4 linked regions of the Lonchura striata genome follow. The protein of the gene in region 1 purifies or fractionates together with the protein of each later gene. This does not show direct contact. Links are inferred from orthologs where the notes say so. Each region holds a gene or a part of one and is shown in the gene's direction. Other genes may lie near its edges. The genes, in order: CDK19, MED31, MED21 and MED4.

What was found.
Region 2: the proteins of CDK19 (region 1) and MED31 purify together in Homo sapiens (affinity purification with mass spectrometry; 6 studies listed by BioGRID and IntAct, counting the BioPlex papers as one, with this or other methods). This does not show direct contact. The link is inferred for Lonchura striata from reciprocal best matches to the Homo sapiens genes CDK19 and MED31.
Region 3: the proteins of CDK19 (region 1) and MED21 purify together in Homo sapiens (affinity purification with mass spectrometry; 6 studies listed by BioGRID and IntAct, counting the BioPlex papers as one, with this or other methods). This does not show direct contact. The link is inferred for Lonchura striata from reciprocal best matches to the Homo sapiens genes CDK19 and MED21.
Region 4: the proteins of CDK19 (region 1) and MED4 purify together in Homo sapiens (affinity purification with mass spectrometry; 7 studies listed by BioGRID and IntAct, counting the BioPlex papers as one, with this or other methods). This does not show direct contact. The link is inferred for Lonchura striata from reciprocal best matches to the Homo sapiens genes CDK19 and MED4.

What each region holds. Positions count from the first base shown.
Region 1 is NC_134605.1:68,775,905-68,783,606, forward strand, and holds the start of CDK19 (cyclin-dependent kinase 19), read left to right. Parts: upstream 1-4,688; 5' UTR 4,689-4,791; coding exon 4,792-4,919; intron 4,920-7,702.
Region 2 is NC_134622.1:11,673,660-11,681,183, forward strand, and holds MED31 (mediator of RNA polymerase II transcription subunit 31), read left to right. Parts: upstream 1-4,524; 5' UTR 4,525-4,614; coding exon 4,615-4,624; intron 4,625-5,130; coding exon 5,131-5,208; intron 5,209-5,816; coding exon 5,817-5,913; intron 5,914-6,647; coding exon 6,648-6,840; 3' UTR 6,841-7,030; downstream 7,031-7,524. UniProt on the Homo sapiens protein: Component of the Mediator complex, a coactivator involved in the regulated transcription of nearly all RNA polymerase II-dependent genes.
Region 3 is NC_134607.1:1,479,596-1,487,160, forward strand, and holds the start of MED21 (mediator of RNA polymerase II transcription subunit 21), read left to right. Parts: upstream 1-4,556; 5' UTR 4,557-4,600; coding exon 4,601-4,642; intron 4,643-4,853; coding exon 4,854-4,968; intron 4,969-5,627; coding exon 5,628-5,728; intron 5,729-7,565. Other genes in the region: TM7SF3 (transmembrane 7 superfamily member 3), read right to left, coding at 3,556-3,625. UniProt on the Homo sapiens protein: Component of the Mediator complex, a coactivator involved in the regulated transcription of nearly all RNA polymerase II-dependent genes.
Region 4 is NC_134604.1:61,908,339-61,915,756, reverse strand, and holds the start of MED4 (mediator of RNA polymerase II transcription subunit 4), read left to right. Parts: upstream 1-4,408; coding exon 4,409-4,527; intron 4,528-6,699; coding exon 6,700-6,766; intron 6,767-7,118; coding exon 7,119-7,289; intron 7,290-7,418. UniProt on the Homo sapiens protein: Component of the Mediator complex, a coactivator involved in the regulated transcription of nearly all RNA polymerase II-dependent genes.

The sequences.
Region 1 (7,702 bases):
CTGTAAAGAGAAGGTAAGGAATAGCTTTTGCAAGAGTTCTCTTAACATGGAGTAAAGCAGTACAGACTATTCTGGAATCAGCTTCCTGGATTATGCTCAAGAAAAGCAGCACGAGGTTTCTCATTCAGTACTATTTGGATTATGGTACTATAAAAATGAATTAGAAAACCCCCAACAAAACAGAGCTAGCCAAATAATTATATCATGAGTGCAGAAGTCAGCCCTCCCTTCTTTCATTCCTAGCATGCTCTCTAGATTTACTGTAAAATTATAAAAGAACCCCTGAGTTACGTACTTTGTTTTTTTACAACAATATAACAAGGTTAATACTTTTACTATAGAGGTTTAGAAGTTAATTGACATAAAAGATTCCAAAATTCAGAGCTTTACTGGGAATCATAACATATGAACTTGAATTGATATTAATCAGTTGGGGAGTTTCTAATCTATCCCTATTAGAAGTCTTCTGGTATTCTGTCCCATTTTCATTAGCTCTTCACACTGCCATTAGTATGTTTAAAAATTCCAAGTATATCTCTACACATTCTGAAACAGGTCTGCTAGTTTTCCTCTGCTTATGAAGAGATGATAATACAGTACATACGAGACTTCTATCCATCCTAAGGTTTCTCTACTTATATCCCTGGGAATTCTGAGAGCCATCCTTCCACTCTGAAGTGAAGCAACATTGGCTTTAAATGTGACAGACAGAAGTCCACACTGAGTGCATATGTTTATTAATATCACACTCAAGATCTACTGGAAAAAATGCTATCTTGATCCCTAAGAATAAAAAATTTCCTATTTGATTAACAAGTAAAAGCTTACAAAGAGAGTGAATTAGGAAAAGGTGCTGCTACTTCCAAATGTGGCCAAGAAAAAGAAAAAAATCCCACCACCTATCTTTTAGTCTCATTAAAAAATGAAGAGAGATTTCTAACAGATTGCCCAAGGAATGAAACATGCTGGAAAGCAAATAGGAGTGTATTTTAAGTGCAAGGCAATCTACAAAGAACAACAAAGTTCTGCATGTATCACTTTCTTGGCACTGAAGTGTTAAAAACCAAATTTTTCCTTTTTGCATGAGAAACTCATGTCTTATCTGTGTTGGAAAATTGCTTAGAGATCTGGTAAGGATACTCAATTCCTCAACTTTCAGTCTTGCTTGACATATCTTTTACCTCCAGTGCAACTTGAGTTTTGACTCCAGTGACTTGAGTTTTGGAAGAAATGGTGATTCTAATGACTGACAATATGGCATCTTCAGTTAGGCTAGCAGGCTGAAAAAAGTCCTTCTTGCAATCTGCAACCTTGTAATTTTCTGTTTCCATTGCTAGGACTACTCAAACTTTATGTGTCAGTACAATTAACAAACGATATGGCACTGCATATTAAAAATGTTACATGAATGCTATTAAATATGTGTTACTGGTATCACAACTGTTCCACTAACTTGGAAGCGCAATGAAAATGTCATAGTATTTTTCTGTCTCTTTCTCTCGAACAATTTGCTGTCACTGCTCTGTAAATGGCTGCTTGCTACTGCTTCTCCTCTGGGAACCACCTGGAGAGGAGATGCCAGGTAGCTGTTTTCCAGCAGGTCTGACAGCCTGTGCCACATACAGTGTTTTTTCCACCTTTATGAATTTGAAACGGAATCCTGCTGTATACTCCAATCTCAAGAAGAAACAAATGGGCCCATTTCCATCTTCCAACCATAATAAAACTTCTGCACAAATGAGATGGTAGCCTCATTCTCATCAGCTCTAATCTGGCCCGTGCTTGAAGCTGTTTAATTGGTTCTACACTTTTAGTGGCTTTTGTGTGGCCAACATAAGGATTCAGAAAGTAGAAGTAGGGCTGAGTCATGAGAGAAGGAATCAGGGCACAGATCACATTCTGGGCTTTTCCACAACCTGACTTGTACCAGTCCAGCCTTCACTGGTGGGGCTCACAAAGGGAATGAGAAGAGCATGGCTTTATTAGTCCAGCAAAATCAAGGCTGCGTGGGGATGAGACTGCTGTCTATAAATACTTTTGGCAGGGGTACACACAGGAGAGCAGGAAAGGCTACTTCAGGACAGTATTTGCACAGCAAGAAAAGATGGACGTGGTACTGGTCACAAGGAAACGTAGGTTTGACATTTTTAAAAGGCTTCCAGCTGTTAGAGAGGTTTTTCCTCGGACAGCCTCCCAGTAGCAGCACTGAAGGCCAAAAAATTTACTGGCAAAGCACAATTAATTTAGGGAAGAAAGGATAAAATGGCTGCTTGCAACACTAGGGAACAGTGTACAGTAGAGGGTGGAGGGAAAATTATACTGCCTTGGCTTACAATGCCAGGTCACCATAATGAGGGTGCTCTTACCCCTCTCTCACCAGCACTGTGGACTTAAAACAAATTATAGTAAAAGACAGTCTTGTCAGTACACTGTAAAATTAAAAGAGTAAAAACAAATGCCTTACTGATGAAAAGGGGCAATAATGGTTATTTTTCTTGGTCAAAGAGGGCAATAGGAACTACTTGAAGAGTTTATTGTTACAAATATTACCAACACCAAGGTAGTCTGTATTCCATTTGATGTTAAAACTGCCAGAATGAATCTGGGTAAAATAACCTTCTACAGATAAGTTCTCTTTTTTATGTCTGCATCTTTCTTCTCGGTGTTCGTTTTGATTACTAGTTGACCAAAGATGTGAACGCTTTGCAAAATTTAAATAGTTAGCTCTAATTTTAGTAAATGTCTTTAATGGTGACTGTGAAAGATCGATGGTGTTCTTTGTCCTGTTCAGGAAAATTGCCAGCTCATGATCAGGCCTTGCTCAGAAAGATCCACATCTGCAACTGCAAAGCAAAGCACTTGAGCTCTCTGGAAATTATTACTTTGGTAAAGGAGCAATGAAGTTTCTGAGAACTTCAGTTGCTAGCTACCTGTCTCAAGGGAAATTCTGAATCATCTCTTGCCTTCTGGAAGAAATAATCACCTCAAAATGGTTACACTCCTGCCTTTCCTTGAGAAACAAACTTCTGGCTATGACCTCATGACTTAGCTATGCACTAGTAATCATATATAGTACCCTACCTTATCATGCACTTGACACCTCCCTTTGCTTTGTCAGCAACGACAGCTTCTCATCAGCTTCTCTACCCCTCCCATCCAGCATGTGGAAAAACTTTCCATTGTGGTAAGTAATGCTGGCAGAGCAGGTGACGAACTGAGATTGTTTTTGTGTATGGAGAGATGCCATTTTTATTCTCCCCTCCTCTAATTTAATTCTGCTTCATTCACTTGCTGCTGGCGGGAGTAATCGAAGGTTGAACACACAAGGTGGACGCTCAAGTGCTTTGCTTCTAGAGTGGGATGTAACCTGCAGGTCAGGTCAAGGCTGACCTTACACTCCCTACAGCTCCCTGAAAGGAAGCTGTAGGTGCGGGTCAGCCTCTTCTCCCAGACAACAGGTGACGGGATGAGAGGAGATCATCTCAAGCTGCTCCACTGGGGGCTTATGCTGGACATGAGGAAGAATTTCTTTACAGACAGGGTCATTAGATTTTGGAATGGAATGCCTGGAGAGGTGGTGGAGTCACCATCTCTGGAGATATTTAGGGAAAGAACGGACATGGCACTTAGCGCCACGGCCTGTAGTTGATATGGTGGTGTTTGGTCATGGACTGGATTCGCTCTCAGAGGTCTTTTCCAGCCTGACTGACTCTGTGATTCTGTGTGACTCTTCGTACAGTTGCCTCTGCCTGGCACTTCCATAATGCAAGTAAGATTGCAGACTGGTGCTTTTCACAAAAAAAGATCTTCGAGAGACCAAGACATAACATTAAAAGGCCTGAATGTTTCTGTGATCTCAAAGTGCTTTGACGAAATCTGAACCCCAAAGCAGCGCCGCGTTTATCTAAAAATCTCTCTGCTCGGGGCTGAAGGGGCACAGCCTTGCTACGGCATCGGATCATAAAGACGCAGCAATACGCCTGGCTTCTATCCGAGCGCAAACACAGTATGTACCCCCGTATTTCTGTAAGCGACCGGTTTATTTAGCAGCACCTAACGACGCGAATCCTAGCAGGATTCCCGTTTCCAACATGGACCCGCAGCGCCAAGCCCTGGAGCCGGCCGGGCCCGGCCCCGCCCGCCGCACGGCGGGGCAGCACTGACCAATCACAGGGCAGCATCCCGCAGGGAGGCGGGGCCGGACCGTGAATGGCAGCTGGCGAGATAAACAAGTCGCCGCACTGTTCGGCGCCCCGCAGCATGGGTGCGTGTGCACTGTCTGCTCCTCTGTTCCTCCCTCCATCTCTCCCTGCCAGCCAGAGGCGCCGCGTCCGGCTGTGCTCGCCGCTCCCGCCTGTGCGCGCAATGTGAAGAGTCAGCAAGTTCCCAGCGGCCGCTGAAACGCTCCGGTGTCTCCGGAGAGGGCAGTGCGCCGACGCCGCCCGGCCGGGGTGGCCCGAGGCATGCCGGGAGTTGTAGTTCTGCCGCTACGGCGTCCTGCCTGCGGCGGCGGGGCCGGCTCCCGCAGCCGCACTACGACTCCCGGCACCTCGCGCGCCGCGCCGCGAGGAGCCCAGTTGAAGCGGGTGGCGGCGGCGGAGCGCGCCCCCTCCCCCCCGCCGAAAAGCCCCAAACCAAAACAAAAACAAACCGGCCCCCCGTCCCCCTCGCCCGCCGCCCCCGCCGAGCCCCGGACATGGCGGCGCCGGGAGGGGGCTCCGCCAGCTGCGGCTGCTGATCCGGCCGCCGCGTCCCCCTGCCCGCCCGTCCCTCCCCGCCCATGGGCGAGACATGGACTACGAGTTCAAGTCGAAGCTGGCGGCCGAGCGCGAGCGGGTGGAGGACCTGTTCGAGTACGAGGGATGCAAGGTGGGCAGAGGCACCTACGGGCACGTCTACAAGGCCCGCCGCAAGGACGGGTAAGGGCCGCGCCGAGAACCCCCTTCCAACCCCCCCATCCCCCCGCACCAGCGCCCTCCCCTCCCTCCCTCCCTCCTCGGAAAGTTTCTGGCAGCGCGGGGGCCGGAGCGCGGAGCCCGCCCGGGTAGCGCCCGCCCCGCGCCGGGAGCGGGCCCCCTGCCCCGGCCCCGGCGCCGCTGCCCGGCTGCTCAGAGCGACGGAATCGGTTATCTGGAAGAAACCTCTGAGATCATCGAGCCCACCCTGTGACCGTACATCACCATGTTCAGCTATACCGTGGCACCGAGTGCCACATCCAGTTTTTCCTTAAACACCTCCAGAGACGGAGATTCCACCACCTCTCTGGGCGGCTCATTCCAATGTCTAATCACCCTCTATGTAAGCAGTCCTACCTAATGTTCAACCTAAAGCTCGTCCCGCTCTGCCCCGTTTTCCCCCCGCCATCCCTGGTGGTGCGGTGTCAGCAGGCTGTGCCCTGGGGTCGCCTTTGCTTTGCACGCCGTGTTTCAGGTCGTCGCTTTCGTCTTTTGTGTGACCGCGTTCGTAATTTGACGGTCTGTTCCGATTACTGGCAGGGGATTGAGAAGGGAGGAGCACCTGGCTCCCGACGGCCCCTCCCCGGCTGCTCCCTCCCTGTGTGTTGGTCCCTGGTGTGTCCCCAGCCCCAGGCACCCTGCTGGTGCCAGTGCCGGGCAAGCTTGGCTTGATGGCCTGTCCGGGATGCTCCTTGTAGGCAGAGCTGGTGGCTTCTGTCCAGTACCAATGCACAGGTGTGTCTCCATCAGTTTCCCATGAAAGAGCAGGATACAAGTCCCTGTCCCTAAACACTTGGCTGGTGGCTTTATACAGAGAGTCCTTTAGGCGTTAAGCCCATGTATGTTGGCTAAGCAAGGTTTATTCTCTTCTTTGGGGAAAGCCAGTATCATGGGATAAGTATTCCATGGATGCTGTTTTCACAGTATTGTGGTTAAGAGAGCAGTGGGGAGGTAGGGTTGCAATTTGAGATTGTTTGACTGGCATACAGTTGTTAAAGGGGAGCAGTCCTGAGGCCTGAGCAAGGCTTTGTGCAGGTGTGGGTTCCAAATGGAATAATTTGCTTTCAGAAGAGCCATTGAGCACTTTTTCACTGTGATGTGTGCCTGGTGCACAAACCCAGGCTGTGTTTTCAGAGTGTTCTAAGCATACTGTAAGGTTGGATAAAATATACCTGTGAATTACAGGTGATTCCTTTCTGTCAGAATGTTAAAGGGAATAGCCTTCCATTATAGCCAATGGAAACTTTGAAAAAGAAGAGACTGAACGTGGAAAAATGACAACTTTTATTTAAAATTTTGGAAGTGGTTAATGGAATGCTGCTGCTTTAGATTAGTAGAGAAGTCTAGGGATTCTTCTGTAGGATTAAATGGCATTCTTGTGTGTCGTGAAAATTTAAACTCTGAATTAGGAGGTTGTAGTATAAAAGTGATTAATAACTGAAAGGTAGACACTAATTCCAGTGAAGGATTAACTACCCAGAAATGAGCTCTGATTCTGACTAGCTTGCTCTGCAACCTTAGGAATACTAGAGCGTAACTAACTTGAAATATCAAAGCTTTTCCAGGTATTACAGTGCCACTGAGCTCTTCCAATATTTTTGAGTTAAGTGATCCTGGTTGCTTCTTTTTCCTAATTATTAATTTATATATATATATGTAAAACATACATGGGATAGGAGGAAAGTGGTAATAAGGAAAGGAAGCAGTAACAAAACCACCAAAAATGCTAGTTAGATGTCTGTTGCTGTTCTTTGATATAGTAAGCCTAAAATTGCTGCTTGTATGAACAGCATAAAAAACGGCAGCACTTGGATTTACTGTTTCAAGAAAGAAAGAAATTCGGAGTAAGTTAAAGTCAGACATTTTTCCTTTCCATCATCTGAAAGGAAAGCCATCACAGGAATTATATTGCTGCTACAAAGCACCATAAAGAACATGTCTTCAAAATCCCTAATGATATGACAAATGCAAATGGGTAGTAAAGCAAAAGTAAATATGATAAAAAGATAGCTAATGTGTCAGAGCTGGGAATAATCAAAGGGAGACCTTGAGCTGTAAGACAACTAACTGGTAAAAGGAAGTGCAAAGTTTCAGTGCTGTCAGATAGATTGACATATAATATAACATGGCACAAATTCAACTGTACTATATACTCAGAGGCTTTACTTCATGAAGTTTGAAAGTGACTTATTTTTTCTCTTTTTTCTTTATATTAATTTTATGGCATTGGTGAGTTCACTCTTAGTTGCTCTTGTGTAAATTTAGATCATTGGGTGAAAGTAATATGTGAACAATTTAGGAAAATATTAGAAAACAACTAAAGCCATTAATATGAGATAATTTCCTTATGTAAACTCCTAGCTAAAGTATATATTCAGGTTGGAGGATATTTAGCATTAGTTATGAACTTTAAGGGATCCCTAATAAAAGAAATTAGCAAAAGAAATCTAGCAGTGGTGCATATTCATTGTGTGCTGATCACTGGGGGCTTTTGAGCCTCGTGTAAAGGAATTCTTCTTTAGCTGATTGCAGAAACTGTTTCAGTATTTCCAATTTGCAAAGCATTCCTGTATAAAAGAAACATTCTGTCTTCTTGCTTCATGTAGGTAATTTACAATCTCAGGAGGCTGAGGGCAATAAGAACCTTGTAGCTCTGCAGAAATTCCACTGAGAACTTGTCACTTCATGTTTCAAAAAGTTGGCATATGAATTTTATGAAATAGTAAAATGTGTTTTTTACAGAGCTT
Region 2 (7,524 bases), on another chromosome or scaffold:
AAACTATTCCCATTTTACCATATGAGGGCAGAGTGTGATTCCTTGTGGTCAGTGAGTCTGTCAGCTGGCCAGCTGGCAGCACAGCTAGCAGTGCCACCTCTAAGGCCTCTAAGGAGCTAAATTAATGCTTTCTTATTTTCTGCCCTCTTTCTATGGAACCTTGGCTTTTCCTTTCTTCTCTCAAAATACCAATTTACCAAAATATCAAGTTGCTAATGCTGTTTCTGCAAATACTGAGTGTCCCAAACCTGCAGCATTGTGATCTGGGCTGCACAGGGTTGCACAGGGTTCCTGACTGATCATGTACTAGTGTGCAAACTTGTTCCCACAGTGTACTAGTGCTTGGGAATGGTCTCACAACTGTGAATGAGTTAATGAATTACCAAACTACAAGAAAACATACAAAGAGATAACAAAGGTATTTCCTGCCCACACGTTGAACATCTAGATCTGTGAAATAGAGAAGAAAAACCTTTCAGCATTCTCTACATGATTAGAACTTGTCCCCAAGATGAAGAGTGGTCAGATTTGTTGGTGTCATCCACTGAGTTCAGAGCAGCAAGTAGTGCATTCCAGTTGAGTTCTGATCTCATTTGAACTCAGTGTTTGGCTTATTCAGCCTCTGTTTTCCAGCTCAGGTGTGTTGCCACTTGAAATAGCAATAACCTGGTTGTAGCCAAACCCAACATTTGCTGACAAAGTTGGAATTGGACAGTTGGTGAAAATCAGCCCAGAAAAAGAATTAGATCACTGCATCAATCCTAGCCAAAATGCAGGAGTGGTTCCTCTTCCTTTCTACTAGTGACATATTGTATACATTTTTACATACTTCACATCTTTTTTTTTTTTCCCCTGTCTGTGCTAAATATGTGAAGAAGTGGGTGGTAATGAATCCTGAGCCCTTGGATCAAGTGACAGAGTTTTCACAATGTTTTCCAGTGTGGGTGAATAAAAGTGTGATTTTAGACAAGTCTGATCAATCTCTTTGTGCTATTGAGAGGTTTTCAACACTTCTTGCACCACAAGGCCACCAGTCTCCTGCCAGACAGGCTCAGCATTTGCCTGCATGGTTTAGTGGCAGGGTGCTGATTCTCCTGTGCCCAGAAGAACCGTATCAGTGGCAGCTCCTCAGTGGCAGATCAGACCTTCCCCTTTGTGTATCTGTACCTGTCCCTGAGTGAAGGGTCTGTGACACAGAGAGGGCTTGCCATGCACTGCAGACTGCCTCTGCTTGGCACAGAAATTCTGAGGGAAGTACAGCCCTTACCACTGGGAGCACAGAGTAAAGGTAGGCATACCATGGTGCCCTGAGGTGATTTGGGACTGCTAAATACAATGTTTGGTAGTTATTTAAAAATAGAGATGACTATACTGAAGCTATTTTCCCCCCATTTTTTCTAGAGCATTTAGTCAATAGCTGCCCATTATGGTGTAAATGTAGATTTACATTTACTGTGGATGCTGGCCATAAGAAAGAGGCTGTTTCTTCTGTCAGAGAAAAGATGTTATCCTTTCCCAGTTTACTTCAGTGCTTTATTTACCCACACAAAATTATTTCCCAGACTTATTTGGCACATGGCACTTCAATGAGTTTTCATAAGCTGTTTCAGTGAGTGTGAGCCTCATTACAGTGTTCATAAAACTTTTTTTACAGACAAACCATTTTCCTGAAAAAACTTAATGTTCCATATACTAAATCTAATTTATTGTTGTTTCCTTTGTGAGCTTTTCTTTGAGAACAATAACTTGGGTTGGGTCTTAGCAAATATTTTAGAAAGCCAGCTGAAGATCAAATTTCCACCAGAAACAAAGTTAACACAACCTTTCAACTAAGAAATTATTATTCTGGAGGAAATTTCTATTTTACTTCAATATTTTGCCTTGGCTATATGGTCAGAAATCAGAAACATAGGAATGTATATTACTCCCGGCAAATGGCTGATTTCAAATTCTCCTGCTGTCCAGGTGTCTTAATAGAAGCCCTCACATATTTTTAACCAACTCATTATGGAAAAACATAAAATGCTTTCTGACACATGACATTTAATCTTTAATTTATCTTTAAATTCTAGTGTTTGTCTGAAGCTGGAGGAGTACCACAGTCACAGAAGTATATGTGCCAGTGCCTTCAATACACCAGTCTTTTTACACTATTTCATCCAGTTTGCAGCTTGCCTGAACGGTATTTAGCATCTGTGGATGAAGTGGTTGCACACGACTGTTATTGGCCTTCTGAAATGCACATTACCTGCCAGTTTCTTGACCTCAAAAAAGTGAACTTAGTGAAGAGTTAAGCCTTTAATTAAATATGTTCTGACAATTGTTTTAGTCACTGAAAACTATGATTTTCTTTCTATTGAATTACAATTATAGCATTGGAGTAAAAAAATTGCAGACTTTGTGCTGGCTTGTTATATATATAACATAATGCATACTCTGCTCTCTGTTATTTAACCATATTTGAAGCAGGATGCTCTCCATCTACAGAAGCTGTCTTGCATTCTGTGGGTAAAATCCTGTCAGATGTCCATGTTAGTATCAGTTTGCATTCTATTCCAAAGCAATGGGTAAATGGGAGTGAACAAGAGGGGATGTCTTGGGTTTCATGCACCGGTGTAAAACATTTCCCTATTTCATCTCACTTGATCAGTTCTCAGTGATGAAATTGATGGAGCTTTTTTCTCTCTGGTGCAGATGCACTGCACAGTGGTGTCACAGAGGAATCTTTTGCAGCATTTCTCTTCCTCAGCGTTTACCTTCAAGATTCAACAGCATGCCAAATGAGACTTTATTTTCTCTTGTGTCTCATAAAACCGTGGTGGCTTCAGGTCCCAGAAGTGGCTCAATTTAAGAGCTGTGTCTCTATGCCAGCTCTAATGAGTTAAGATAAACTTACTGTCCTAAACCATCACATTTCTGGGCAGGCAACAGCAGTGACAGCAGTCTAGTCTATGAAAGGAGAAACTGAGGCAGCAATGTCATCCTTGTTCTATGACAATAAGACAAATTTCTGGCTCACAGTTATATTGACACATGTCCTGCAAGTTTGGCTCACCTGACATTTAAAAACAAAACAAAACTAAACAAACAAAAAAAACCCCAAACTTTTCTTCAAGAATGTTCTCCTATATAAAATATTTAAACTATAAAATCTCCTATACTAAAATCCTGATTTTCAATTTTATTCCTAATTTTGATGGACAAGAATTGAGATGTTTAACTTAACTTGGGCAAACCTACATTGTAATTTATTTTTGTGACCAATCCTTTTTTAGGATTCTCTCCTCTGAAGTCACTCTTGGGAAAGAAATCCTGTTCTAGAATAGCAATGCAGACACGTGGGATCTCTTTGATCTCTTCTTTTAGATCAAAGTCTGTGTTTACTGGGGAGTGACTTGTTATGTTTTAATATAGTAATAGTAGTATTCCACAACCACTAAAATGTTGCCTAAGAAAGCAACTCTTTTTTATTAAGAAAAAAACTATGCATGAATCCTTTTTATATGGTTTTTGTAATGCAATTCCCAGGGGAAAATTCATACTGCATAGGAAAATATAGTATTATAGAAAATTGCTATGTTGGATGCCAAAAATACTTCAACAAATTAAAATTGAAAATAATTAAAACAACAAAAAAAGGAAAAATTAGAAGGATTTCAGGTAAGCCTGTAGAGATTGCTTCCACTGCTGCTGCTCACTCAAGGAGCATTTGCTTGTTAATGGTTTTATTCTGAGACAACTGTGTTTTAATTAATGAAGAATTAAGCGTAGAGGTTGACAGAAATCTCTTTGGCTGACTGTAAAGTCACTACGAAAAACAAACAAACAAAAAAGCCCTGCAAAGTTCCCAACTTTGTCCAATATCCAGTATTTACCATTAAACTTTAAATACAGTTTAGTGTTTTAGTTGATTCTAAAAGTTGATTCTCTCCACTTCCTTTTGCTCTGGAAGGGATGAACAGTGGCTTTGTGTAGTACAAAGCTAAAATGAATGTTCTGCAAATACAAACAAAACTTCATCCTCTTTTTATCCTTCGCAGCTCAAGGGGTATCTGGGGAAAGAACATGCCTGGAACAGTGACCGCAAAGCCACACTCGCTGGCTCTGGGACTGACTGGGCCCTGCGGCACACGGACGAAACTCTGCCCGCGTTCATGTTCGGGAAGAGCCGTGGAGCTGGAGTCCCAGGAATGGCACTCTGGACTCGCACTGGGTCCCCTGGCACAAGCAGCGCGGGTGGCACTGGGCCTTTTCCCTCAGGCGGGGAAATTCCGCAGGACCGGTGGCTGCGGCACACAGCGGCGCCGCCGCGCCCCGTCATGGCCCCGCCCCGCCCGCCATGGCCCCGCCCCTCCCGGTCATAGCCCCGCCCCTCCCGCCATTGCCCCGCCCCTCCGGTCATAGCCCCGCCCCTCCCGCCATTGCCCCGCCCCTCCGGTCATAGCCCAGCCCCTCCCGCCATTGCCCCGCCCCCGACGCGCCCCGCCCCCGCCATGGCCCCGCCCCCACCGTTGCTAGGCAACGGCCGCTGCGTTCCCAGCGTGCCTAGCGTTGCATTTCGCCGGGCCGTAGGTAGGGGGCGCGCTCGCCGCTGTCGGGTGTGTGCGCCCGGACATGGACGCAGGTGCGGGAGCGGGCAGAGCCGGAGCGGGGCCGGGAGCGGGGCCGGGAGCGGGGCCGGGAGCGGGGCCGGGAGCGGGGCCGGGAGCGTGCGGGGCCGGGAGCGTGCGGGGCCGGGAGCGTGCGGGGCCGGGAGCGGAGCCGGGAGCGTGCGGAGCCGGGAGCGGGGCCGGGAGCGGGGCCGGGAGCGGGGCCGGGAGCGGAGCCGGGGAGGAGCCCGGGAGGAGCCCCGTGGGGCCGCTGTCGCCGCCGCTCGGAGCCGGCAGGCCCCCGGAGCGCCGGGCGTGCCGGGCCGGCGCAGGTCGAGCGGGGCGCCGCACGGCTCCCCTCGGAGCCCGCAGCCCAGGGCCTGTCCCGGGTGCGCCCTGGCCGCGCCGGGCCCGCGCACCGCGCCGTTCGCTGCCGCCGGCCGTGGCCCTCACCCGCCCCAGCCCGCTTTGGTCCCGGTACAGACTGCGAATGCTTTCAGTCTGTGTGGGTCCAATTCTTACTGGTTTTGTCTTGAATCAGATGATACAGGAAATCGACTTCGATTCCAGTTGGAGCTGGAGTTTGTTCAATGTCTGGCAAATCCAAATTACCTCAACTGTGAGTACTTAAAGTAAATACCACAACCTGGAAGAGTTAATATAGTGCAATGCTGTTTATTGTTACCGGTAATGTTGAATATGGAGAGAGGGCTAAACAAAGAAAAGGGTTTTCACAGCATGAAACTAACCTGTAAATTATTTGTTTAACAGGTGGATTTTTTTTTAAAATGCAAAGTCTTTTGTTAGTTGGAATGCAAGAAAAAAAAAAAAAGGCATTTATTTGATGGAGGAAGAAAATAACAAGTTCCAGTCTGTTATTAAAAAGTAATGTCAAGTTAACAGCATTCCTTTATCTGAAAACAGAATTTTACTAATGTGAATAGTTTTAGGTACTGTGCATAACTCTGTTAATTTTGATGCTACTGTCAAAGTTTTCTTGTTTCAAAAAGCTGTTCCATTCAATGAAAGATACAAACTATAAGGGAGATGAGGCCAATCTATTATTTTCTTGACATAAAAATCTTATTTTGCCCTGTGGTTTTTTAATTTGCCAAATATAAATTATTGAAATTTGATTGTAATGAGAAAGCTTTGACTTTGTGATTTTTTTTCAAGTAGGCTGATATTTTGCACCCATCTGTAACTGTCAATTCCTTGTCATTTCAGTTCTTGCACAAAGAGGCTACTTCAAAGATAAAGCGTTTGTAAATTATCTTAAATATTTACTTTATTGGAAAGAACCTGAATATGCAAAATACCTGAAGTAAGTACTAAATTCCCTTAAGTTTCTGCATTTTAATGGTTTGCCATTGACCTCATTTTGAACACTGTACAGCAGCATGATAGGATTTCATTTCTGCCTGTAGCATTACTTTTGTCCTTCCTGCAACATAGATTATGCATATGGTTATATGCAATGTAGATTCCCCTGTTTCCAATAGTCCACATGTAGCAGCAATAGGCAAAATTATAAAAATTTCATGAGTTTTGCATAGAATCTTCCTTTAAAGCCTTAATCTGCACTTTCGATTGGTTTAAAATCAAACTATTGAACATTAGGGCAAAAAAGCAGTAAGTGCATTTTAAGATCAATTGTGCATTATTGATGCTTGCATGAGACAAAAGATGATTTTTGTGTTTTTGCAAGTGTGCTAATGCCTTCTGTTTTTGGGAAAATGGTTTTGGTCATCTTTAATTGGGCTCTGGAAAGAGGCCTTGTAAAGCCTGTTGGATGGATGGATAGATTTGGTCTATCAAACCAAGCCATTGGGGAAGCTACTGTAAGTAAGCAGGAATGTGCATTTATTACTGGAATTGGTTGTCTTGTTTCCTGGCCTGATGCTGCAGTTACCAAGTCACAGTGTTCATGCTGAAGTCGTTTCACACTTGGGTAAAGCACATATGAGTCAAAACTAACGACCCACAGAAGTACTGGAGACTCTAGATTTAGTGTCCCTTGTAAAAACCTGTATTAAAGTGTGGTTATTTTTAACCCAGGTATCCTCAATGTCTGCATATGCTAGAGCTGCTTCAGTATGAACATTTCCGCAAAGAGCTGGTCAATGCTCAGTGTGCCAAATTTATTGATGAGCAACAGATCCTCCACTGGCAGCACTATTCCCGGAAAAGGATGCGCCTCCAGCAGGCACTGGCTGAGCAGCAGCAACAAAACAACACCTCTGTAAAATGAAAAGCACACAGAGTAGTGATGATAAGGTGTACTTTGTGTTAGTGAAGTATTTACAGGAGGTGAATGAACCCTTGTGCAAGTTTGGCTCTGGCTCTGTGCCTTTTATTTGAATTTATCAAATGACTAGGGTTGTTTTTGTTTCATCAACTCCTTTAAAAACTAATAAACACCTGCAATTTATTTTACAGCATGGACAATTTTGTAAGAGCTTTACTACAATAGTTATTGATTCCTCTTGATTTTGAAAACAAAATCTAGATTTGTCACTTACCAACTCTCTACAAAGAAGTGTAGCTCTAAAGGCTGTTCCTAGGAAACCTTTTCCCTGGAGAATAATGATGTATCTTAAGAGAACTCCCTGCTACTTACAGCTCTGGGACAAGCAAAGGTGAAGTGATGATAGACAAAGTCAAAACTGTGCAGTTTTTCCTTGAAACCAAGCTGAGCTATTACATGTCACTTCTGTTACCCTGGCAGTCATTGTTGATGGAAGTTTGTTTTCCTTACAGCACATTGTACGGATAGAAATCAGGAGTGTACAGGGTGAGGTCTGGGGAGTGGAGCAGAGATAAATGCTGATAAATTCTGCAGGATAGAGAAGGAAACAAGCTGTAGCTGTCTCTGTTCTATTAAACTCAGCTTCCTTGCATCTTGGCCTCTGCCTGTAAAGCAGTGGCTGCTCTG
Region 3 (7,565 bases), on another chromosome or scaffold:
CTAATACCAGACAGGTATTAGACTCCCTGAGCCACAGAGAGCTCAGTCTTGTCAAACATCCTTTGAAAGGCACAGAGACCTCAACAACCACATAGTGCTGGTCACAGCATGCAATCTTCTCCTTTGGGCAAGCTTGACCTGCCCAGAGGTGGCCCACCAGACAGGTCTGCAGGACCAGCAGCACAGTTAACTCCACCTCACAAGTGAGAGAGTTGATTCAGCAAGTCAGCAACAAAGATGGGAGCAAAATCCAGGCATCCCAACTTGTTTTATTGCTTCCAATGGTGAAGGCCTGGACACGCTCTAAAGGTGTCAGGCTATGCTCTCTTCCTTGCCCTATAGGAAGGACTGTAACAGTCACTACACATCAGAGTAATTTTGGGTTAGATACATGAGAGGAACCCAAACTGCTACAGAGCTTATCAAATGAACAGATGCTGAAAGGAAGTCAGCATTGCTGAAACCAAGCAGCAGCAGAGTGGAGAGGGAGCACTGAGCATGTATTACTCCATAAACAGCACCAGGGCTGTAGCACAGATAGCCCTGCACACAGAACTGGTGAACACAGCAAACAGCCCACTCTGTCATCCCACAGTATCTCTTCTCCCACATGAAGGGCAAAACCGGTAAAGACAAGAAACAGAACCTCCTGGAACTCTTCTGAGATCAAAAGTCCTTATTCCTAACTCTAAACAACAAGACAAACAACTCCAGAGCCTCTGCACTTGTTATCCCTTCCCTGTGACACGCTTTCTCCAACAGGCTACACCCAGCTTCAACTGTTTCCATTGTGCTGATTCAGTGCCAAGCTCTTGGCTCCTCTGATGCTTTGAGAAAACCACATTTCCAGCTCCAATAGCCAAGTGTCACTCCCTACCACCACAGAGCAGTTAACCACACAGGGTTCTTGATTACAACCAGCAGTCCAATTTCCAGTAAGAAAAACAACTGAAGAAATGCCCCTGCTGCCCATACAGCCATGCTCAAACATTATCCTTCTCTCAAAGAGGTTCTGTGCAGTCAGAGAAAACACATTTCTACTGGGTGTCAAGCACCTTGCAGTGGATATGCAGAATAACCTGATGTAAGCAAGCTCCAGGAGCCAAGGAGAACTTTCCAGTGCAGGGAGTACAAGTAGTCACATGAAGACATTTAATGAAGATGAAATGCAAGCTCAGACTGACAACCAGTTTGAGTAAGAAAAACATTAGCATACAGTTACTTAACAGAATAAAGCCTGGAGCCATATCCTATCAGACCTGTAAGGCCATGCAGACACAGATAATGGGAGAGTCTGGCTACAGGGTCTGTCTTCCCACACTACTGAGCCCCCCTCCCCCCCAAAAAAAATACAGCACCTACCCTATTCCCAAAAGAAGCAGAAACATTTCTGAAAGCTTCTAAACTTTGATTGTGTGTGTACTGAAACTCATGTTTAGAACAGCTTGATACTTAAAGCAGATGACACCACAGAATGTGACTTGCCACCATCTGCACCATTCCCATCCCAGAGGACTATTCTGTTCACCAGGCTAGAGGTGTTTTACCGCCTGAAAAGTGAGGGAAGAGATTTGTGTGAACATCTTATTGTAAAGTATCATCTCTGCATAGACTAAACAAGTTTCACCCAGATAAGCTCCCTTTACAAAAGCACCCCTCAGTCCTGATTACACTATAAATTCACTTTAGTTTTTCCAAAACTAAACAGCCCACTTTGGATGTAGCAAACACGGCCAGCTGAACTCCTCCTCAGGAAGACAGAACTCCCTGGAAGGCAACAATCAGTGCAGAAAACACTTCTGCACAAAGACTAAGTTTGAGGGGCCGCAGCCCATCAGAAGCCCAGAGAGGTTACACAGGCCATCATGCAAAGATTTTACTGATCAGCACTTTTAAAATGAAGCAGGAGCTTCAAGAAATAGGAGTTAGCAGAGCCCATCCCTGAAAAGTGGGTGCCCACAACTGAATAACCACAAGACAATTTCAAATCAGTGAACCATTAAGCAAGTGGCCTTTTTTAAAGGCCCTAATGATCAGCTAGACTCTGGTACACAAATTACACAGCTTATTAGCTTTTCACAAGGGAAATACTTTCCTCCCCTCCACCCTCATTCGTGCAAGGAAAAACAGCAACAGGTTCCTCCAAGGCAAAGCAGTTTGCTTAGTCTCATAGTTGCTTTGCCTTTTTACATAATGTAGAAAAATTACTCAACACATGACCCAATTTCATCAAGTCTAGGAGACAAACTGCTTGTTAGCATCCTTTAAGTTATCTTAAGGACATTAAGGTCTAAGAAAGCAGAGCTTTTATTCTCACACCTGCTTGTGACCATCAGGTGCCCAGCCAAAGCTTTTAGGTCCTGCAAGAAACAGGGAATATTTGGCTCTCCATTAGGATCTTGGGCATGAGACTTGGGCAGAGAGAAGCCTTCCACACCTGAGACTGATTCCAAATGCTGTCCTGCAGCCCTGCAAAGTATCCAAAGAGTCTCCTTTGGACAATTAAGCTTCATTCATTCAAGGCCAGGTTGGGTGGGGCGTTGAGCAACCTGGTCTAGTGGAAAGTGAACCTGCTCATGGCAGGGGGGTTGAAACGAGATGAGGTCCCAAACCATTCTATGAGTCCATGGTTAGAAGCAGTACAAAACTAAAGCAACTAAAAGGAGGAGGCTTATATCAGCCCTGATAAGAAGGACTGCTTGCTTATCTTTGAATTATCTCTGAGAGGAAACTGTTTATTTTTTCCTTTATTTGAACAGATAAGAGTTTAACCAGAAAAAGAAAAAAAAAAAAAGAAGTGACTGTAAATCTTCCTGAACTATACTTATTATAGCACACTTAACTCTGGACTCCTATTTTAGTCACATGCAGGAACACAGGGAAATTACAAAAAAAGCCCATGCCAAATAAAGTCAGATTACATCAGTACGGACAGAAAGTAAGTTTAGGAACCAAGCTGCAAATTCCAAATTCTAGGTTTTACCCCTTTCCCTAGTTTTATAGCAATAGTGGTTTTCAACCCACCATCCACTAGGGTGGTGAGAACCCATGAACACCTGCACATGGTCGGGGGATAAAGGCAAGCAAACCAACCCAAATCGCCTTTTAGCTATGTCAACTCACGTTCACGAGTGGCCAATGCCACCTCGTTTCTGTGCGAGGAATACAGCCCTACACCATCCGCATCACCTGCTCCGCACCCCCGCGGCCAAAATCATTCTGAATTATCCATGAAACAGTTACAATTATGGCATTTACGGCAATTAAGACGTTTAAAAAAAAAAAAAAAAAAAGCGGATAGGGAGGGAAAGGGGATAAAAAAAGAGGGTGGCTCTCCTTGTCCGCATGAAAGATGCAGACAAGCAGGAACACACACGGCGCTTCTGCAGCGCCGCGGGGAGCTCTGCCCCGCGCTCCTGCGGAGGGCAGGTGGCGGCGGGGACAGCCCCGAAGGCTCCGCGGCGGCAGCGAGCCCGCGCCGCCGGCCGCGACCGGGCACGGCCCCGCAGCCCCCGGCCCGAGCCGCGCTCCTCCGCCCCGCTCCGCCGCCCTCACCTGAGGCTCCGCCGTGCCGCAGGACCCCCGCGAGCAGCAGGAGCAGCGCCGGGCGAGCCCAGCCCCACATGGCGCTGCGGAGGGAGCGCGCAGAGCGGCTGAGGCCGGGACAGGCCGGGCGCGGCGCGGCGCGGCGCGGGGCGGGGCGGGGCGGGCGCCGGGGGCGGGCGGCAGGCGGGGCCGCTCCGGCCCGGCCGGGGCGGGCGGAGGGGAGGCGTTTGGCCGCGGTGGCTAAAAATCCTGAAAGTGCGCGGTGGGGTTTGGATCGGCAGTGTGGGGTTTGGGGTTTGACTTCAGAGCGTGAGCAGAGCCCAGATCGTCACCCATCCGTGCCGTCGGGAAAACACTTTGGGCGGATTGTTTGTGTCGTTGCTGCACCCGCAGCATCAGTGACAAGGCTACAGAGTGGTTATTTCCAAAGGCGTGTTGTGACAGGGTAAGAGAAATGGCTTCAAAATGAGGTCTAGACTGGATATTAGAAGGTATTCTTCCCTATGAGAGTAGCACAGGGAAGCTATGACTGTCCCATGCCTGGCAGTGTCCAAGGGCAGGTTGGATGGGGCTGGGAACAACCTGGGATAGTGGAAAGTGTCCCTTTAGGAAGAGATGCTCTCTAAGGAGAAGGCTGGCATTGTACCCAGCTGTCAGAGGTAAGAAAGATGGGCACAAACCGACTGGCACGAATGGCATTTATTCTCCAACCCCCGGGCTCGGGGGCCGGGTGCTGGCTCTGATTTGGCTCGTTGGGAGCATTACACTCTGGCTGTTCCCTGCTCACATCGGGGCTGGAGCGGAGCACCCGAGCGCTGCTGCAGCCTTCAGCTGGGCTCAGAGCGGCTGCCGCACAGCAGAAGCCGTGGCAGTACCCGAATGGCGTAGCTTTGAAAAGACCTCTGCGGTCAGCGGGCGCAGCCGTGCCGGGCGGCGCCGGGCGCCAAGCCCCGCCTTCCCCCGGACGCCCCGAGGGGCGCCGGCCGCCCGTTCCTCCCGGCCGCCAGGCGGCGCGCGCGCCCCGCGCCTCAGGGGCGGCGGCGGCGGCGCGGCCATGGCGGACCGGCTGACCCAGCTGCAGGACGCCGTCAACTCGGTACGGCGGGGCCGCCGCCTCCGCGCTCCCGGGGCCGCGGGGAACGCCGCGGGCTCTGCGGGGATGCGGCTCCCCGCCCCGGGCGGGGGCACGGCGGCGGGTGTGGGGTGCGCGGCCTGCGCGTGGCCGGGGTGCCGCGCGGTGAGGCGGGGCGGCCGCAGCGGCGGGGCAGGGCGAGGAGCCAATTAACCGCGTTAATTGGTGCCGGCAGCTCGCGGACCAGTTCTGCAACGCCATCGGAGTGCTGCAGCAGTGCGGCCCGCCGGCCTCCTTCAGCAACATCCAGACGGCCATCAACAAGGACCAGGGCGTCAACCCCACGGAGGGTGAGTGCGGCTGCCCGCGTCGCCTGCGCGCTTCGGGAGTGCAAAGCCCCTCGGCGAACAGCTCCCCCGCAGCTGCGGGAGGGCTGGGGATACCTCGGGGTGGTGTCGGCTGCGCTTTCTGCGTAGCAGTGTTGGCGTTCAGGAACACGCATCATCACGGGGGATGGTTATCTGCAGGTGCTTTTATTGAGAGCCCTGGGAATCAGCGGTACAGACTCAAATCTGACTCCGACATGGCTTTCGAGCTACACGTCTTTTATATTCTATCCTTATATAACTTACATATTAATTATTAAACTTATATTGACTTTATTCAACCATGAGTTTCTCGTGATCTTTGTTATGCCCCTGACTACAGTTTCTCATGATTATTCTTACGATTAAACAGTAATTATATTTAATTACTAAACAATCATCACATCTAACAACTATATAATTTATCACGTACTAGCTACACAGGTGCAGTTCTAGCAAGGTACAAGACCTTCATGTACCTAGGGTACTTATTTTTTTCAGGGCCTACTAAAATTAATTTTCTTTTTAACCCTAAATCCCCATGATTTTAAAACCCTTTTACTATCAACAGTGTGGCAGCAGAGTTGTGCTTGTTTCTAAAAATTCCCCGAGTGATTGGCTGAGTTGTGCTGTGTTTTGTGCAGAGTACGCCCAGCTGTTCGCAGCTCTGATCGCTCGCACCGCCAAGGATATCGATGTTCTCATAGATTCCCTGCCCAGTGAAGAATCCACAGCAGCTTTGCAGGTAGGAGTTTTCATAATTCTGACATCAGGATGCTCCTGAAGGCAAACTTCCTTCTTTTTTTTTCTTTTTTAACACGTTTTTTCATCTCTAAGCCATGTCACCATTGAAAAATGATTTTAGTACAAACCTGAATTTTTTACAAGGGCAGCCTAAGCGTGCTTTGTAGGCTTAGTGGAAATAGTGACCTTGCATCTAGTTCCAAATAAGGTTATAATCAATGACAATATTTTAGACTTAGTTTTCTGTTAAAATGTAAAAAAAAAGATGGTTTTTCACACCACCACTGCACTGGAAACTGCTCACCTTTTTTTTCAGATGTTAACAGAACAGATATAACAGTACTGATGCTCTGTGCATTGTTTTATTCGTTTTTTCCCCTTGGGTTATATTTCATATTTTCTCACATTTCATTCTGTAGCTGCAGAACTAATGCTACAGAAGTCTTTTGTTCTGCCACATTGTTTCTGGTTAAAGAGCTTGCGGGGTGTCCTTTAGGTTCTTCAGCTCTGTCACAAAATAACTCCATCACTTTTCGATAACAAGGATTCTTCCTTTGAGCCAATCAAACTTGTTTTGGGTTTTTTTTCCCTATTTTTTCGTAGATTTTACCTGTTAAAACCATCCTTTTTTTTTTATTATTTTTCTTTGTGACTCTTAATGGCTGGATTTACATCAAGTGTTTTCTCTTTGGAATGCATAAAGGATGCTGAGTGCTGTTTCTCTGACAAACCTGATGATCACCTTTAAGACCACCTAAAAGTTTTAAACTTGCATTGGTAGTTTGTAACTGTTTAAAAGTGTTTTACAGAAGATTGACACTGAATAAGCCAAAGAGAAGAGACATGGCAGTGGCATCACGTTTGTTTTAAACAGAGGAGGTTAAATTTGGGAACTTCGCTAGTCGCAGTAATTGCTAAACATCAAAATTGGGCTCATTAACACTGGCATAATTTCCTGTAAGTGCATTTTTAATAGCTGAAGATAGAATGCCTGCTGCAGACAAATTCCAGTTTGTTCCATGACTGAGCAGAGTCTGATCAAAGTGGCAGCTGGTGTGGGTAAAGCAGGGTGCTCCAGAAGGAGGAGCTGGTTATCCAGTAAGGATATGCTTTCCTTAGAGGTGATACTTCAACAGTTTCTTGCTGTCTTAATGAAGAACTTCATGTCACAAAAATTTCAGATCCTTTCTATATGTTATGGTTTTAAGATAAATTAGCTTGGATTCCATCACTTGGATTCCAGTTTTGATTTTTATTTTCTGTTGCTTAATTTGGTGCAGTATTAAATATTCTGATAGTCTTCAAAGAAATGGTTTTAAGGATGCTTGAAACACTCTCAAATATGCACTATAGGTTTAGTTGAGAAGTGGTAGATAATACTCGTTTAATACAAATCTGCTTTTTTTATACTAAAGTTGTCTTGGTGTATGTTTCAGATCTGAGTCTTGTCGTAAATTACAAAAGGAGCTGCTACACAAATGCTCAACACAATTTACCTGCCCCTTGTGAAGCTGACAGTACAAATTCTGCTCTAATCTGTGGATTAGCTGCAGTCAACTATTAAACAAGAGAACATTTTTCTTTTTAGGGAGAACCAGTTCTCTCATCATCCTTCAGTAGCAAAGTCACTTCAGGATTCTGTTGAAGATCCTTGCTTTTCCCTGTTGCCCAACATCAAAAGAGGAAACTCTTGCAACGGTGTTAAAATAGTAAAATAAAAAGCAGGCCTTTATTGGAAGCTTCCAGGTGTCCCAATGATCTTGGTCACACCCAGCATCAGATTTCTACAATTTTATGAGTTTAACAAACTAGCATATCTAATAAATATTGTCCAATTA
Region 4 (7,418 bases), on another chromosome or scaffold:
AATTATTAAAAAGCAAAGTCAGCTTTTTCATTTCCTGTCTTATCTAATTGGTCCAAGATAACTACCCAACATCAGTGAGCAGGGAAACATAGATTTCTTTTAAAATAGCAATAAGAAATGGATGATTTATCAGACACATTTCAAAATATTAACAGTGTAATGACATCTTGACAAATGAGGGACGATTATTCTCATCTTTCAAGACCAAAGTACAGCTGTGAAATCCTTCCAAACAGTGCTCAAGATATTTGATTTCTATTTTAGTTGATTTTTGACAGAAAGGATTTTATTTTTACATTATTTAGGGGAAGTAGAAATGAGTAACTGTTCTGTCCCTTTTCCTTTTTGCTCTCCTTGTGTATCCTCCTGCCTTTATATTTTTAGTGATTGCAATGCTTTATTACACATGGTCCTGAGAACCTTCAGGTATTACGTATCTTCTGTAGTCTGTATTTTCCTTATTATTTTAAGGTGTGGTAAACTTAGCTGTTGCAAACTGAACACCTGATGTCTAGTGTCTGGAATGTATAAATTAGAAGACAGCTGAAAAGCACTGTAGCCCAGAAAAAATACAGATTTTAACTGAAGCACACACCTGCTTTGGGTTTCTTAGGCAAGATTCGCTACAGCTCAGCTTCTACATTCTAAAGTGATTTTCTAGTTCATAGGAAAAAAAACCAAAAAAAAACCAAACAAAGTAGGAATACCTAGAGTGAAGGAATCACAGTATTATGTTGGAAGAAAATGCTTTGCACTAGAGGAATCCTAGGTCTGAATAGCACTGAATTATGAATAAAAGAAGGGAAGATCTCACTTTTCAGCACTAGCCCACAGTCCCATGAAATTAGTTGCAACTCAAGCCACACTCTGAAGGCATGGTTCCATATGATGAGGTTAGAGTTCACTATCTAAAACAGAAGGAAATGAACATCCTCTTCCAAATTAAATATTCTTCAGTCTGGTTATTGAGTTGAAGTGGCTCATGGCCCATATGGCAAACACCAAGAAGGAGCTAAGGGTGGGTGAAAATCTGCAGTTGGGACATGAGAAGTTAGCAGCATCTCAGGTTCTTGCCCTTGGTGAACTATTAGATCAGATCAGATGCTCCTAGATCTATCTAGAGGAATCAGTTTGCTCTGCTGATCATCACTTCAAGGCCCATTCTGGAAGAGAAAAGACTCAACTGAACAAGATAAAATAAGCTATTTTTGCTTATGCTAGAAGGTTCTTAACAATACATTCAGTATGCCATTGAACAGACAATTTGAAATTAAAGAGCTCTGAAATGTTTAATAAACTCACTGTGCAAATATCCATGTATGACTACACAAACTAAAATGTTCTCAGTCTACTGGAAAAATTCAGGAACAATGCTTAGTTATTCAGGAGGAACCAAAGAAGCAGATCTGGCTCAAAACCAACAAAACTATGAAAAAAGTTTACCCAGGGGAAAGTAGGCAAAAAGCACTGAAGAACTGAGGTAACAGAGGAACCAACACTGGGGGAACAGAGGCTCTGTTGTTTTTATAGGGAAATATTTCAGAAGTCTATTCAGCAAAGTATTCACTCAGTCTTTAAGTAATCAGTCCATGGGGGGCACGAGTTTGGGGCATGAGCCCATTTCACCCAGCCTTTCCCTTTGTTCTGAAGGAGATGACCCCTATGACATGGTTTGAATTACTTTCTATGTCTTGGCACAGACAGGCATTCCCTGATACCTCTGGTCTCACCCTGTCCTCCCACACAGAGGCACGAACACAGTTAAGTCTCTGCCTATTCCACTGCATTCCCCAGACATGGCTATGCAGCCATGGGCAGTAGAGAGCAGACAGTTGTCCATGTTGCCTGGAAGAGGAATAGAAATTTGAGAAGTAGGTTGGCTGCTCCAGGGAAAGATGGGTGGTATTGGCCTGGTTGGGTGGAAGTAGTACTGCTGTGAAGAGGAAGGGAGGGAACAAGCTCCCAGGCAAAAGGAGAATGAAAGATCAGGCTACAGAAATCACCTATAATCAATATTCACACCTGTCAACTCTGGGTGTCCTATTAATGCTGCAAGCTTTTAGCTCAAGTGAAACCAACATTATTGCCCTGAAATACAGCACTCAAGTCTAAATAATCCAGATGTCAAAATGAGTATGAGGAAGAAAATGATTTAGTGGAAGGACTGCTTTGTTTTTGATGTCACTATTTCTTTCTATTTATGCACCCATACAGACACTAACGAATCAGTGAACTGGATGCACAACCAGACACTATCACTGATTACATCTTTCCCTGAACAAAAGCAAGGAAATAGAGAAGGGAAAAAAAAGCAAGCAAAAGTTATTTAAAAGGCAGAACTATTTAATGAGATTTTATCTGCTATGCAGTTTAAACAGAATTCCCAAACTATTTGCAATCAGAATGTTGAGGGTTGTTGGGCATTGCAAAGGAATTTTAAATAACTCCTGTTAGCAAAGTCTTTTTTCTCAGAGTTGCCAAATCTCATTGCTTTATCAAAAATCTCATAATGTTGAATTGCTTATTTAAATCACAATCCAAAGAATTACTGACTAATGAGTTTCTTGCCTTTTTTTCTTCTTTAAATAAATGTAAATTTCTCAGGAATACACTTTTTGCAGAAGGTAACAGATAATCAGAGTAAATACCAGCAGTCAGAGAAGTTATTGTTCCTGTAGGCCTTTTTCTAATCAGGGGAGAAGAAAATAGCTGTTTACTGGCAGCTGCCTGCTGACAGCAGAAGGACACAGGGTCTGGGGCTCCCTGTTGTTCTATGGTAGTGCTTGCCCTAGTTAATAAACCCTGGCCCCAGATAAGCTCTTACTCTGTACTCCCTCATCTTCCCTCCAGCCTGGCCTCACAGGGTCTTTCCACATTACTGAAGCTTTCATGAATATAAAAAAATTCCACTGGCTACACTGTGACTCCACCCAGAAGGAGCAGCCCGTTTCACCACCCCATAGAGCGCAGCATTAAAAAACCCCCACAACATAGCAGTACCTTTTAATTCCAACTCAACTGCTGGCAGGGCTGGGTGCAGGATTTGAGCCTATTATTGTGTTCAGATTCTGCCCCCAGCAGGCAATTGTGCCCTGACCATTGTGTGTAGAGGTCCGTGGTGGACACCAAGCTACCTTCATGGACACACACGTGTGCACGGGCAGTGTCAGGAGGACAGTGATGCCTCTAGTCATGTAAGGGACAGCCAGCCCAGGTAAAACCCTGGTCTTGGTCTGATTTGAAGTTCAGGTTTTTGATATGCTTTCAGTATCATGCACTTAACCTTCCTCAGTTGCCAGTAAAACACCAGATATATAAATGTCTAAAGGAGACGTGTCAGGATGGAGCCTGGTGCTTCTCAGTGGTGTCAAGCAATAGGACAAGAGGCAATGGGCAGAAACGGATGCACAGGAAGCTTCATCTGAACATGAAGAACTTATTTACTGTGTGGGTGACCATTCACTGGAACAGATTGCTTAGAGAGATTGTGGAGTCTCCCTCACTGGAGATAGCAAGAACCCTCTGGATGCAATCCTGTGCAGTGTGCTCTAAGACAACCCGGCTTGAGCAGGGAGGTTGGACCAGATGACCCTCTGTGGTCCCAACCTGACCCTTTCTGTGATTCTGTGATTTTATCCTCCATCTGATCAAAGACACCTGAGGGATTTTTGGACACCAAGACTCTCAAAAATTGAGTTAAAGCCCCTGAAGATGTAATACAGTTGCACACACTTCACCTGCAGCCTGTTTTCTGTATCCTTAGCATATATCAGTGTCATCTGGAGGCTCTTTGTGGGGGCCCGGGGACTCCACAAATGCATTCCAGTTGGAATGGTTGTAGCCAGGTGGGGACAGACCTCTCCTCCCCAACAACTAGCAACAGGAAGACGAGAGGTCACCGTCTGCAGCTGCACCAGGCAAGGTTTAAGTTGAACATCGGGAAGATTTTCTTCACCGAAAGGGTGATTACGCATTGGAATGGGCTGCCCAGGGAGGTGGTGGAGTCACCATCCCTGGAGGTGCTTAAGGAAAGACTGGACGTGGCCCTTAGCGTCGCGGTCTAGCTGACACGACGCTGTTGAGACTCCGTAATCTCAGAGGTCTTTTCCAACCTAAATGATCCTATGATTGCAAGAGCAACAAGCACAGATGCTCGAGGAGCGACCTGGCCTCAAGGCAGGCCGCAGAGGCGACCCGCTTTCCCTCACGCCCCCAGCCCGCGGGGACGCGCCCCGAACCCCCGCTGCGCTCCGCCCCGCCAGCCGGCGGGAAGGGATCCGCCCCTCCGCCCCGCGCATGCGCGCCCGCCTCGCGGCTGCCGCTCGCCCCTGCGCCGCCGGGGGCGCTGCCGCGCGCCCGCGCGCGCCTCCCGGGGGCGGTTCCCGCTGGGGTCCGCGCCGGGACGGCGATGGCGGCGGCGGCGGCGGGAGCCGGGGCCGGGGCAGCGGCGGGCGCGGGGGGCGGGGAGCGGAGCAGCACCCGGGACCGGCTCCTGGCGGCGCTGGAGGATCTCGAGCTCTTGGCCAGGTACCGCGCTCGGGCCCCGTCGGCCCCGGGTGGCGGCGGGGCACCGGGGGCGGGGTGAGGGCTGCCGGCGGGGCGCGGGCGCGGAGCCGGGGTTGGCGGGCGGAGCGGAGCGGCGGCCCCGGAGGTTGGGATGGGATGGGAGGGGAGGGGCCCGGCGCCACTGCGGCGCTGGCCCGACCCGGCTGGTACGCGTTTTCCTGCTCTGGCCCTCCTCGGGCCGGCCCTGCCGGAGAGGGGCTGGTGCTGCGCCGGGGCTCGGCCCGGCCCTGCGCAGCGCTTCCCGGCGCTCATCCCGCTGGAAAGCATCGGTCGTTTGCAGAGAGAAGGTGTAGCTTCCTTTTTCTCCCACTTGCCTTTCTCCCTTGGCTGACACCTCTGCTTCCTGTGAAGTGCACACTCACACGCCGATTTTAGGCATTTTATTAGTCACTAAAAATATGCTTAAGTCAGAAATACGTAGATGGTGTGGCATGACATCACCTGTTCAGGTCATTGCCTGTATTAGTGCCACATTCACTCCAAGTAGGCTGCAGCGCTTGTCTTCAGAGTGATAGAAATGCTCAGATACTTAATCCAGGGTCTTTAGTCCAGGCTGGTAATCCTCATCCAAATTGTCAACCATGTCGTGGAGGCACAGCTGGCAGTGAAGTTCAGATAGTTCCTAATTATTTTCCACACCTCAAGGAGAGCAGGAATTTAGGAAAACATTTTCAGTGGGAATACCTGTACTATCCATGTGGCTTGCTCACTGAATGAGTTCCAAGACTAGGATATGCTATTGGTGAGTTGCTCTCCTTGTGGCAGGTTAAGTTTTATCCTGTGTCACAGATTTTATTGAGACATAAGGGTTGCTGAAGAGCATATGTTTATTGAAAAATGAAAACAAGCTTATTCTTTATGTATATTGCTAATATTTTTTAATGCTGGAACTAGTGTTCTACCACAATGAAGCCAGAGCAATTCTCAGCAAAATTTAGTGAATCTTCCTGTTGATCAGCTAAGTGTTGCAGCACCCTGGGGCTAGGCTTTTCTCAGTTTCAATACTGGTTTGGTGGTAGGGACAAAAATTAAGCCATATGTCTAATCTGTAGCCTTTCTATAGTTTTGAATCTATGTCTGTGCATTACCTGGCTGACACAGGGTAGAATTACAGCACTAGTTGACATCACCTTTGATGGTGGTAGGTGACCTACTTAAAATGGATTTTATTTGCTACTGCTCAGCGTTGGTCAGGTAGAATAAAGCTTTAGTAACAGTGACAATTTTCTTTATTGTCTAATTGTTTAAAATCATAGTAGTGTTCAGGAGTGACCAAGAGATATAGACCAAGATCAGAGTTTTACTGGGGATTTTTTTAGACATTTCTGGCCCCAGTGCTATATTACACACACACCCCACTATGCTGCTTACACTGGACCAAGCAAAGAGTCAGTACTTCCAAGGGCAGTGTCTCCAGATGACAGTTACTTGTGCTTAGGGTTGAATTGCCATTCATAGCCTTAGAAGCCAAATGACTTTGCTGAATTTACAGAAAATGCCTTTTTGCATCATGGTACCCAGAGTTCTTGCTGGCTTTCTGAACACAGGCAGAGTATCTGGATATCTGGAAGAGTGATCAAGAGGTCTGTTTGAGAAGCACTTCTAGCCTAGCAACAGAGTATTACCAGGGTTCTTTTATATTTTTTTGTGTGCTTGATGCATAGCTAATATACCATTGTGGGAATATTTGTTGTAAAAGCAGTTCCATAACAGACTCTGTTGGTATTTGAAAGTGTAGACTTAATTGCTCTAAATTACAAGTATATTGGAGAAAAAGTGGAAAAAAGTAGAGAAGTAAAACAGTGAAGACCCTCTTGCAACAAAGAAAGCTAGTAGAAGAAGGATCTGAGTGCACTCCATTATGCTGTTTCTTCTCTCAGGTTCTGTTTATGTCTTTTATGGTTTAACAGGAACTTAGCACATTTCTTGTTCAAATACATGAGGGTTTCATGAGCTCAAATAACAAAAAAATATTCTTTCTTGGTTGAAAAGTCCCTGCCCACACTGTACTATAAAATATAAACTGCTCAGGTCCATGAATACTTTCATAATTATACCAGTACTCTGGTAATTTTGGGATGACTTGATGTGAGAATGCTGTAGGAAATTGTGCAAACGGAGTTCTCCTTTCAGGGAACTAATTGAAATTTTGGCAATTTCAAGAAACCAAAAGCTTCCACAACCAGGAGAGGAGAGCCAGGTAAGCTGCCTTTCTGAATTGCATTTCTTTGGGTAAGCATAATGCTTTGCTTCTAATTTTTTTCCATTTTTTTTCTTTGTCCTTACTTTCTCCTTTTGTCCTTGCCTATATTCAAGTTAATGGTCATGGTGGGGCTTTGGCCCTGCTACAGAGGCATTATTGGTTCTCCTGCAGTTTATTAATTTTTTATGTGCTTCATAGGGCGTTTCTGCAAACAGGAAGAAATTTTCTTTCATTTTTCATTCAAGCAAAAATACTCCTATGGATGCCATTTGCTCTTCTTTGTAGCATGACTGAGAGTGTGTTGTTACTCTAGCCAAATTAAAAGTTCTACAAAACTGTTGTTCAATAGATCCTGGAACTGCTGATTCAGAGAGATGGAGAGTTTCAAGAGCTAATGAAGTTGGCAGTTGATCAGGGAAAAATCCATCATGAAATGCAGCTTTTAGAAAAGGTAGTAGAAAAGCGGGATAATGATATTCAGCAGCTGCAGAAACAGCTTAAAGAAGCAGAGCACATACTGGTAAGTTCATAATGATGTGTTTGCTTTTGAGCATCTTCTTGTAGAAAAGGCAGTTCTGGGCAAAGTGGTGTTGTGTTAGTTTGAGACGATTTAAATACTTAAAACTTCATAAGAGCTTAGTGGTTTGGG